2 linked regions of the Neurospora crassa OR74A genome follow. The protein of the gene in region 1 purifies or fractionates together with the protein of each later gene. This does not show direct contact. Links are inferred from orthologs where the notes say so. Each region holds a gene or a part of one and is shown on either strand. Other genes may lie near its edges.

Evidence for each region. Proteins that work in one complex are often made in the same cells at the same time.
Region 2: the proteins of rgb-1 (region 1) and NCU01843 purify together in Saccharomyces cerevisiae (affinity purification with mass spectrometry, with the first as the bait; 3 studies listed by BioGRID). This does not show direct contact. The link is inferred for Neurospora crassa OR74A from reciprocal best matches to the Saccharomyces cerevisiae genes CDC55 and CCT3.

What each region holds. Positions count from the first base shown.
Region 1 is NC_026501.1:3,522,768-3,528,582, forward strand, and holds rgb-1 (protein phosphatase PP2A regulatory subunit B), read right to left. Parts: upstream 3,818-5,815; 5' UTR 2,893-3,817; coding exon 2,849-2,892; intron 2,603-2,848; coding exon 2,562-2,602; intron 2,457-2,561; coding exon 2,359-2,456; intron 2,264-2,358; coding exon 1,612-2,263; intron 1,492-1,611; coding exon 905-1,491; intron 830-904; coding exon 806-829; 3' UTR 199-805; downstream 1-198. Other genes in the region: NCU09376 (hypothetical protein), read left to right, coding at 4,934-5,815.
Region 2 is NC_026502.1:2,190,345-2,195,207, reverse strand, and holds the start of NCU01843 (T-complex protein 1 subunit gamma), read left to right. Parts: upstream 1-1,156; 5' UTR 1,157-1,391; coding exon 1,392-1,416; intron 1,417-1,538; coding exon 1,539-1,605; intron 1,606-1,699; coding exon 1,700-1,908; intron 1,909-1,973; coding exon 1,974-2,564; intron 2,565-2,638; coding exon 2,639-3,276; intron 3,277-3,280; exon of another isoform or gene 3,281-3,359; coding exon 3,360-3,452; 3' UTR 3,453-3,756; coding exon of another isoform or gene 3,757-4,479; 3' UTR 4,480-4,863. Other genes in the region: NCU01842 (hypothetical protein), read left to right, coding at 1-724; NCU01844 (hypothetical protein), read right to left, coding at 3,757-4,479. UniProt on the Saccharomyces cerevisiae protein: Molecular chaperone; assists the folding of proteins upon ATP hydrolysis. Known to play a role, in vitro, in the folding of actin and tubulin. In yeast may play a role in mitotic spindle formation.

The sequences.
Region 1 (5,815 bases):
AAGAGGAGCATGTTGACAACTTACCTTTGTTTGTAATTCATCCCAACTCGAACTCTGGTATGAGATTGGTGTTGTATTTGCGTCTTCTTCCTTTTACATTCTTAATTTTCATCTTTGAATACCACCCCCCCCCCCCCCCCCCCTTCCTTTTTTTTTCTTTTTCTTGAGGGGGGTTTTCTTTCTTCTTCCCCTTTTTTTCTTCTTTTTCTTCTTCTTTTTTGTATTGAGCCAAAACCTACGCTTAGTCATGTTTTCATATTTATATCTTTTGTTTTCTACGTTCTGCGCGGAACATCTGGGAACTGGTGGGTATTCCATGCCGAACCAAGCGCTTACATCCATCCCATCGTGACATGACACTCGGCGCTCTGCCCTGCGGACGGAACGAAAAGGACATAATGGTTATTTAACATACGAGTTACTCTCCCCTTATCGTCCAAGGCTGGCGGCTCCCTGGGCCATTTGTTTCACTTCCGCTTCGTTCCTCACGCCCGCCCTGCCTTGTTCATGGGATCTTGAAAAGTCGATGTGCCAAACCGGGCGTAGCACTTCATGACTGGAAATTTCCCCGCAAACCTGCCTCTCAATGCATCCCTGACCTATATGTGTCCTCATCTTTCAATCAGGCTATCCGTCTCGCTCTTGCTAAAGACGCCACCATGCCCCAGGCCTCGACAAATCGAGCACGAACAAACCAGAACCGCGAATGCTCCCAGTCAGACTGTGGAACGAGAGGCATAATAGCCTCAGCAGTTATGTGAAGGGAATCCCAATCACATCCATCCCCCCGCCTTCATCATTCTGCCTACAACGCGGAAAAGACAAATAGCTGTGGGAAAGATGGTTAGCTATCAATAGGGCCCAGATGAGGATGCGGTTAAGAACTAGCGGGGCAAGAACTTACGTTGTTGGTTGCTGCGATGGCGATGCTGTCCTCGAACGGATGCCAGCTCATATGGAGAATCTTCTTGTTGAAGTCGATTTGATCGGCGTCTGTCTCTTTACGCATCCTTTGGCCCTGGCCTGCCGCTGCCGGGCTTCCTGCCCGTGAATTTCCCTTCTTACCACCGTTAGCTGTGGGACTTGTCGACGAATTAATGGGTGTCGGCACCCCAACTTTCTTGGCCTTGAACGCCGACTTATCCGCTTGCAGGACGACCTCCACCTCCTTGTCGGGATCCGATGGGTAGATCATGAAGTTGTTGTTGTAGCTTCCTGTCATTACGTTCTTGGCGTCTCCAGAGAATACAACCTCGAATTTGTCAAAAATGCTGTCATTTTCGTATGTGTCGCAGAGTCTCGGCCTGAGGTGTTCATGAATTGGAATCGTCTTGACTGGCTGCCGCTCCATGTTGACATCCCAAATCTTGACCGTCAAGTAGTCGCGAGAAAGGATATACCGGCCGTCATGGGAGAATCGAACGTCGGAGATGGAAGATATGATTTCAGAGAAGAAAGATCGGGACGATGGGTCTTCTTCTTGTTCGAACACTATACAGGGAAGAAAAAAACGAATTGTAAGCAATGATCAGCGGAGAATAGAGATAAAAAAAAAAAAAAAAAAAAAAAAAAAAAAACACTTCAAACACAGTTCACCGAAATCCAACGTACTCTTTGCGTGCTGGTCGCACAACGCCCTTTCGCGCATATCTGCCAGCTTGATTGTGCCCTTAGAACTGGCATACATGAACCAGTTGCAGCTCAGAGGGTGGAACTCTGCGGCTGTAATGACCTCTGTCAATTCCTCCATGTTCGCCGGCTTGATGTCCACAATGTTGAAGCTCTGGTCTTGGATATTCAGATTCCATAGGTTGATCCGCAAATCATCACTGCTGATGAAGGTCTCGCCATCGCTGTTGACGGAAATGCTGTTGATGTGGTACGCATGAGCATTGGCATATGTTCTCCGAGGCACGGCGGCAACGACTGTGTCGTGATGGGTAAGCCTGGGTAGCTTGAGATCGGCGGGACTGCGAAACTGAGTATGAGGTAAGGCACGAGGTGCGCCTCCACCGCCGGCTACGCTTGCAGGCGTCAAATCATGGGATAGGTTGTTCTCGGCGACAACCTTAAGCGACTTCTCGAACACTTTCCATAGCTTGATCGTCTTATCGTTTGTCGAGAGGAGGTAGTGGGAGGCATTTTGTCTCCTGCACCACTTGATTTTATTGATCTTTTCCTCAATTTCAAGGGACTTGAGGTAGTCGAACTCGGGCTCGTGGGACTGAAATTCGGTATGAAACTTGTATTCGCAGGTTTTTTTCTGTCCACAGGTAAGCAAGACATAGACAAGAAGCGGGCCAGCAAATAAGCCGGAAGGGAAAGGGGAGAGGGGGGGTTTGCCGCAACTCCACTAACCGTCTCGTTCCGTTCAAATAGCACGACTCGTCCACCCTTATCACCAGTCGCCAAGTAGTTTCCGGTGTGGTCAAATTCTACCGTGGAGATGATATCGGCTGGTAAAGGCGGGTCAGTATGGCTGAGGGTATTGATGACGTGAGGAGGGGCATTGACGGGCTCCTGGTCGAGGGACCCGTCGTGGGAGGAGGGGTGGGTCGTACCTTCGGTGATGTCCTCAACATCTCCCTTGTCGCCGAAGCATCTATGACAAGATCTCAGTACGATGAAGTGGGGCAAACACAGGAAAACGAGGCGACGTCTCGTATAAAGAAGAGCGTTGACGGAGAAAGGCGTAGGTCAACGTGGAGCGGAGATCGGATCCAGCCGCGGGCGCGGGTACGGGCACAGGGACAGGCACGAGCGCAATCGCACAGAGACGGACGCTCGTGAGGCAGAAGTCGACGGGGATGGAAAACATGACGGAGGGTCAAGGAGGAGTTCGACTTACTGGGTAAACTTCCATGTCGGAGAGTTGGTATCTGTTTCCACCATCTTCAACGATTCCCGGGGCCGTGGGCGATGAGATCCCCACCTCTACCAGATATGGGACAAGGACGACGAGCGGACGGAGGGACAGACGGGCAACGGCGGCAAGGGACGACGTTCCCAAGGGCGATGATGGACAAGAAGAGATTTCACGAGCTCGAGGCGCGAAATCAAGGGATGGCGGAGAGACGGGAGTTGGAGATCTGGAGAGAGGTGCCCAACAGAGACCGGGTTAAAACACGTGGGTGCGCTATGGATGTTGTTGCAGGGAGCATATGTATGGATGAAGGTAAGGGTCGGTCGGGTAGGGAAAGACGGGAGGAAAGCAATAAGCAAACTTGGTAGGTGTTGAGGTAAGGTATGTAATGTACCTGGCTGGTGGGCGGTCGGGTGTGGTGGAAGCAGAGCCCGACCCGAGTGGTAGTAAGGTACGTAGGGCGACGAAAGGGAAGCAGACGGAGGTACGCCGGTAGCGCAGCGAGGTACCTAGGTAGCTGGGCGGAGGAGGACCTGATGGGGCCCGGGATGGAGGGTGTGAGGCTCAACGGCCAGACGGAAAACTACCTCTAAGTACCTAGTAGTGCAGCGATAAAGCGATTGAGGTGCGAACCTGAACCCAACTGAGAGAGTGTTTTTTGCCGCAGCGGCGAGACCTGGACAACTGAAGACTATGGGTGCCGACCGAGCGATAATCTGTCGTTGCTTCCTGGGAGCTGACTACCTCTGGACGTGGGCCGGTTTCCTGTTCGTGCTGCAGGTGCGCAAAGCCAAGTGAAGATGCGGGGTACGTCAAGCCGAGTGCTGTATGCGGATATGGCGTAAAGTGTTGTTGGTGAAGGGTTAGGTTGTTGCCTTTGCAAGATTGAGCAAAAGACGGATGGTGGATGGAGATGGAGATAGATGGGCCGAGATGTGGGAAGGAGCAAGCAAGGACGCCCTCATCCTGCCAGGGAGTTAAGCTTTGGCGATTGAAGGGAATGACGAGCTAGTTAGTTAGCGAGGTACGGAGTGGGCACGGGGTGGATGGGCGGGCGATGAGGTACCCTTTACTACATGCTAAGTAGGTACGTATGGTGGTAAGGTTGGCCCCTCCCTCCTCAACACAGGGGCATGGGGGCCCGTCAGCCCGTGCCCTCCATGCCCGCCCGTTCAGGCCTGCTCGGTGAATGGAAGATCTCGTCCAATACCCAGGGCCGCGCAGCTTCCACCAGTGAGCAATTGCGGGGTCCATTTATCCCGGGCGGCGACGAGATGGCATCTGCCATGTACAACTACGAGGTAGGCTCGTAGGTATATACCTACCTACCTAGTATCAACCTCTGCGCTAGGTATTGGGTGATGGTATACGGGCATCTACACCAGAAAGGCACACTCGCTTTGTGCCAGCTGACTAGCTATTGAACTTGGACGTATGCTATGGATCAAGAGCGCACTTTAAGTTGTCCGCATACGTCTTCAATAGCTCATAGCAAAGTATGGTCATGACCCGGCCTCTTAACACCGCTGAGGTCCGTCTCTGGATCCCATGATGGCATCATGGCTTTATTGTGCCCATGGCATGTGTTGGCGTGTGGTCCCGTCGCTTTGTTCAATATCTCTTGAGCCTTGCCATCCAATCGAACGGCCCCCACGGGTGCAACTGCAGCTCTTTCAGCTTCCGTCTTTTGTTCACAGGTACATATTCCATCAGACATGCCAGGACTGTCTAGTTCGCGACTGGACGGAAAAGTTTGGCAGGTCTGATATCCCTGTTACATGATAGATGTCATTCAAGGTGAGGAGTCTAAACTCCCCAGACGCTGCTGTAGCCTCACGGCCATGTCGAAACGCACATGCTGCATGAATCACCCCAAAAAAGCACGTGTGGTGTACTGGCCCGCCTTGAAACTTCGGGGTCTAGGTCTGACGTTGCGGATCTGCCGGGGAGCCGGGACTATATAAGTTACATGATATCCACCCTCCCCCGGTCCGCATCATTGCTCGGACCTGGCCACGGCATCCTTCGTCTTCTTGGATTTTTGACAGGTCATAGGGCCCCCACCTATTGATGTTGGGCAGCACGTTGCCGGTCCTTGATGTCTCTCCATCTCTTCCTTCTTATTATCATCTCATCGGTACGGCTCTTGTAACTCAACTCTCCCGCTTACACATCGATCTCAGCCCATCACTAGATTTATATGCACCCACCAATCTCATTGTGAGGTTGAAGATGGTGCCAATGCCTGAAAAGACCAAGGGTAAAGGAAAGGATGTTGGAACGTCGGAGGAATCAGTTGGTGCTGGTGATATAGGCCACAATGGGCAGACCGGGGGCGGGGACGATCTGCTTACCCGCATCGCCAAGTCAGCAACATCACTACCTTCAGCTTTGTTCTCCAAAGGTAACATGACCGGCGCAGTTTCGGGACTAGGCAACGGCGAGAAGGGAGAAGGCTCACGAGCGGCGGCAACAGTGGCAAGGGCCACGGGAAATCTCGAGCGCGTGGGTGAGAGTTCTGCCCCGCTTCATTCTGCCTCTCATGGCGGCGAGACCATCAGGTCAGCCCAGATTCAGGGACATGTTGCGATGCAAGAGGCTTCTTTCGCCGCCTTTCTTGACACCACCGAGCCTCTTACGGCGCCCGAAGGAGCAGGTGTATTGGAAGGGGCGTGGAATATGAGAGGCAATGTTCCGAGTTCGACAGTACCAGCAACAAACAACCAATGGACTCATTCTTTTCCGGCATCCACTGTCGCCGAACAGGAAGCGCGCGATGGCCAGGAAGTTGTAGCATTGCTCCGGGGTGATCTGAATCTGGATGCAGAGCTCGCAGGGCCGGAGGAGAATACAATATTGCCCGATGACATGGCCAGCTTGCGCAAGGCTTTATTCGGGAACGACGATCCCGGCAGCAGCTCATCACCTATTGCGTGGGATCATGCGCTCAAC
Region 2 (4,863 bases), on another chromosome or scaffold:
ATCGCCGGCGGTGGATATAAGTAGTCTGACCAGCAGTGCGCTGTTTGAAAAAGAGAAGGAGAAGGAACCACAGCCGGATGAAGGAATATTATCTCCAAACGGCATCCTCCCAAGCTCAGTAGACCTGGGAAGGAGAAGACGCGCCTCATCCTTCTCTACTGCAGCCCCTGCAATGACAATTCCTTCGGTCCAAGAACAATCAACTCTAAACCTCCCAGCCGCGGACGAGACCGATGAAAACGCCGCGGTCGAGGCTCAGATTCAGAAGGAGCTGAGTAATAGTATTACAACACGGCCCAGGGGTGGAAAGGGGAGGCAATCAATGAGCCGTTCCGTACCCACGATCCCAACAGAAAATTACGAGCACGAGGACGCACAACTCTCGACGAACTCAGCCTCGGTGGATCTTTACGACTTTGCTAGTTGTGCGTCTCCGGATAGCGCAGCACCCCAGCTAGAAGCGACTACCGGCGATGTTCCTGTTAATAAGAAGGCACCCAAAGGTTCAAGAAGAGCGTCCTCAGCTGCTTCGACCGAGACAACAGCAACAGCATCCGCAAAGCCAAGATCTTCCCGAAAAAGGGCTTCGATGCTGGTGCCGAAGAAAAGCTTGTGGGCTGAAGAGTTAGCGCAGGAGGAAGAGGATGAGGAAGATGTCGGCAATGACAGTGGCGGGTCCTTGTCCAAGGGGAGGGCCTCGAGGAGGAGAAGCATGATGCTTTGAATGGACCTTGGCAGAGCTGGGGAGCCTGAGATGGAATTGTTGTATAGTTGTTTCACACGGCACAGCGTAAGGCGTTTGGTGGTTTACAGGATATGGAGCTGAATCACACGTGGAACTGGACAAGAGCTCCCCCCATGACTGTACTTAACAAGCAAGCTAGCATGTTTGGATAGCTCAAACATGGAGAGGACATGACGCAAATGTATTTTATGACCTGTATAAGAATATTCCCCCTGATCAAGCATCAACAATGCGTTGCTGCGCGACCGTTAGCGCTGACAGCTGGCAGCGGATGCCACGACACTGGACGTTTCTTCCGTTCTGTTCGGCAGTCCTCTGCCCCACCTTTCAGTCCATGGTGGGGTGCCGTCCACTGGCGACGAAAGCGGCAGGGAGCTTGGTCCAGGTCGATTCCATCAACTTTTCGGAGGGGGTCCAGCATCCCACCTTGACCTACCTGAGGTTGACGCTGAAGCTGCCTGCCCGATCATTGAACTGGAGAACAGCAAACAACAACGGCGGCCATTCCTTCTCCAGATTTTTGCCAACCATCCTGCTTCCCCCCCGCGCATTCTGAAGCATCACCATCTGAAGACATAGTCTATACCTACCGTACAGCTTTCTTCTTTTCAGTCACCACTAAAGCAACCCATATAAATCAGGCACCATGCAGGCACCGGTCCTGGTAATGAGTATGTTCCAGCGCTCGAAGCTACCTCTTACCCCTTTTCGCACTGATATTGGGGATATCCTCACTTGTCAGCCGGCAGTAACCATGCAGCATACTGACTGACCTTACCTCCTACCCTTACAGACACCAACAGTGGTGAGAGGCAGACTGGCCGCAAGGCTCAGATGTCCAACATCGCCGCCGCCAAAACGTACAGTTCCCAGGCCCTTCCCCCCCTAATAGCGGATAAGACCGCCTTTCACCCCGCCATGGACCTTGACTGACCGCCCCCCCTCGGCTCGTAGTGTCGCTGATATCATCCGATCCTGCCTCGGCCCCAAGGCCATGCTCAAGATGCTTCTCGATCCCATGGGCGGTATCGTCCTCACCAACGACGGCCATGCTATTCTCCGCGAGATCGAAGTGTCGCACCCCGCAGCCAAGAGCATGATCGAGCTCAGCCGGACACAAGACGAAGAAGTTGGTGACGGTACCACAACAGTCATCATTCTTGGTAGGGAAATCTTTGGCTACAGCTGCGCCGCATACCGTTCACTGACAGGTGGTATTCACAAACAGCCGGCGAGATCCTCGCGCAATCCCTCCCCCAGCTCGAGCGCAACATCCACCCCGTCGTCATCATCTCGGCCTTCAAGCGCGCCCTCAAGGACGCCCTGCAGATCATCGAAGACATCTCGCTCCCGATCGACATCAACGATGATCAGGCCATGTACAAGCTCATCTCGTCCTCGATCGGCACCAAGTACGTTTCCCGATGGTCGGAACTCATGTGCGGGCTAGCGCTCAAGGCCGTGCGCACCGTGACGTGGGAGCAGGGTAATGGCAAGAAGGAGGTCGACATCAAGAGGTATGCGCGCGTGGAGAAGGTGCCGGGCGGCGAGATTGAGGACAGCAGGGTATTGGATGGCGTTATGCTCAACAAGGACATCACACACCCCAAGATGCGCCGCAGGATCGAGAACCCGCGCATCATCCTGCTCGACTGCCCGCTCGAGTACAAGAAGGGCGAGTCGCAGACCAACATTGAGATCACAAAGGAGGAGGACTGGAACCGCATTCTGGAGATTGAGGAGGAGCAGGTCAAGCAGATGTGCGAGCATATCCTTGCCTTTAACCCCGACCTTGTTATCACAGAGAAGGGTGTCTCTGGTGAGTTCGACTCCATAAATGGGAAGCGCGTATCACGTCGGTGGCAGGAAAGCTAACGATGATTTCACTCACAGATCTCGCACAACACTATCTCATGAAGGCCAACGTTACCGCGCTCAGACGTGTGCGCAAGACCGACAACAACAGAATTGCCAGGGCGACCGGCGCTACTATCGTCAACCGAGTAGAGGATCTCCAGGAATCCGACGTTGGCACTAACTGCGGCCTGTTTGAGGTCGAGAAGATTGGCGACGAGTACTTCACCTTCCTCACAAAGTGCAAGGACCCCAAGGCCTGCACCGTCCTTCTCCGCGGTCCCTCCAAGGACGTTCTCAACGAGATCGAGCGCAACCTGCAAGATGCCATGGGCGTGGCGCGCAACGTCATGTTCCACCCCAGGCTATCGCCCGGTGGTGGTGCGACCGAGATGGCCGTGTCCGTCAGGTTAACACAGCTCGCGAAGAGCATCGAGGGTGTCCAACAATGGCCGTACAAGGCCGTCGCCGAGGCCCTCGAGGTCATTCCCCGTACACTTGTCCAGAACGCCGGCAAGAGCCCCGTCCGTGTGCTCACCGATCTCCGCGCGAAGCATGCCGAGGGCAAGAATTCGTGGGGTATCAACGGCGATACTGGTGCCATTGTGGATATGAAGGATTACGGAGTCTGGGAGCCCGAGGCCATCAAGGTGCAGAGCATGAAGACTGCTATCGAGGTATGTTTGGACTTTTTTTGTCTTTTTTCTTGACGTTCAGTTTCGATGCTCTCTAACTGTCTACTAACCATCTATACAAACAGGCTGCCTGCCTCCTATTGAGAGTTGACGATATCTGCAGTGCCAGAAAGGCACAGCCAGGTGTCGGTGTCAGCTCTGGCGGCGGTGATGAGTAAATGTTATGAACGGTGCGGGTGGGTAGCCCAGGGTCTACTGAGTTATAGTCAGTCCGGCAAAAGGTGGTATGATATCCCGTTAATGATTCTTTGGTGGTCCACGCATAGCACCCATTGCATGAGCACCCCTTTATGTATATGCTAGATGGACCTTGGCATGGTAGATAAAAGGGGTTCTGAAAGGCCTGGTCGAGAGGTCTAATCCTTGTTCCGTAACCCCGAGCGTGATGCTGTCTATGCTTTCCCCCGTCGCTGATGGTTGCTCTACTCGCTTGGGTAAAATCAATACTGTCAACATCCCCCTTTAGTCGTCTTCAACGATAAGTAGCCCAGACTCCGCATTTCCGGGTACTACGGCCCCAGGAGCAGCCGCCGCCGTGGCCGAAGTAGACTTGTCCGCTTCCTTTGCGGTACTCTCCCCAGCGGTGTCGTTGCTAGTGGCTCCAGCTCCGGCTGCACGCTCCTTTGCGCCTCCCTCGTCCCCAGTCTTTGCAGTCTCTTTCTTCTCAGCCCCGTTTGCTGTCGTCACACTCCCTCCTTGACTTGCACTACCATTTCCACCTCCACCTCCACCTCCACCTTTGCCCCCCTTCCCTTTATTCTTCTTCTTGTCCCTCTTCTCCCGATTCCTCCTTGTCTTTTCCTCATCCGCCCTCTCCCTCTCCCTCTTCTTGGCTTCAAACTCCTCTCTCTCCTTCTCCTTCGCAACCTCCTCATCCATGATCCTCAGCCGTTCGTACTCCCTCCTCCGGGCAGCTTTATATACATGAAACTCGCCCGATCCCGCACCGGCGGAAGAACCCTGAACGTTGGTGACGATTTCCGGAGGGGGAGGTAGTCGAGAGGAGCCAGAAGTGGTGGAGGAGGGGAGCGGTGGGATGATGATTTCTCGGTCGGGTTTGGCGAAGAGTTGTTGTAGGTGGGAGGCTTGAAGGGAGGTGGGAGAGGAGGCGCGGAGACGCTTGGTGGGGCGGGAGGAGAGGCGGGAGGTGGAGGTTGGGATCGAGGAGGGGTCGTCGGCTGACATTTTTGCGCCTTTGTTTTGTGTTTTCTGTTGACAGTGGTCTGCGGTGGCGGCTGCGGCTGCGGCTGCGGTTGTGATGATGGTGGTGGTGGTGGTGGCTGTCGGGTGTTGCCTAGGTTGAGACGCGGCGGGTTGTTCTGGTTCGTGACGTTCTGAGGAGCGAGGCGCGCGCACGCCGTTGAGTTTGTTGCTCTCTTTTGTGGTGCGATTAAGCGCTGATTTGGTGATGACGGTGGGATCACTAAAGTTTGCTGTTGCAAATGCTGGAGGGCGTCGAGGCGGAGATGTGAAACTGGAGTTGAATTTCGGCCGGAGAATGAAGTCGCGACAACGGACTGGTCGATCGCAGCGATGGGGTTTGGTTCATTCCAGATCGACCAAATGCGA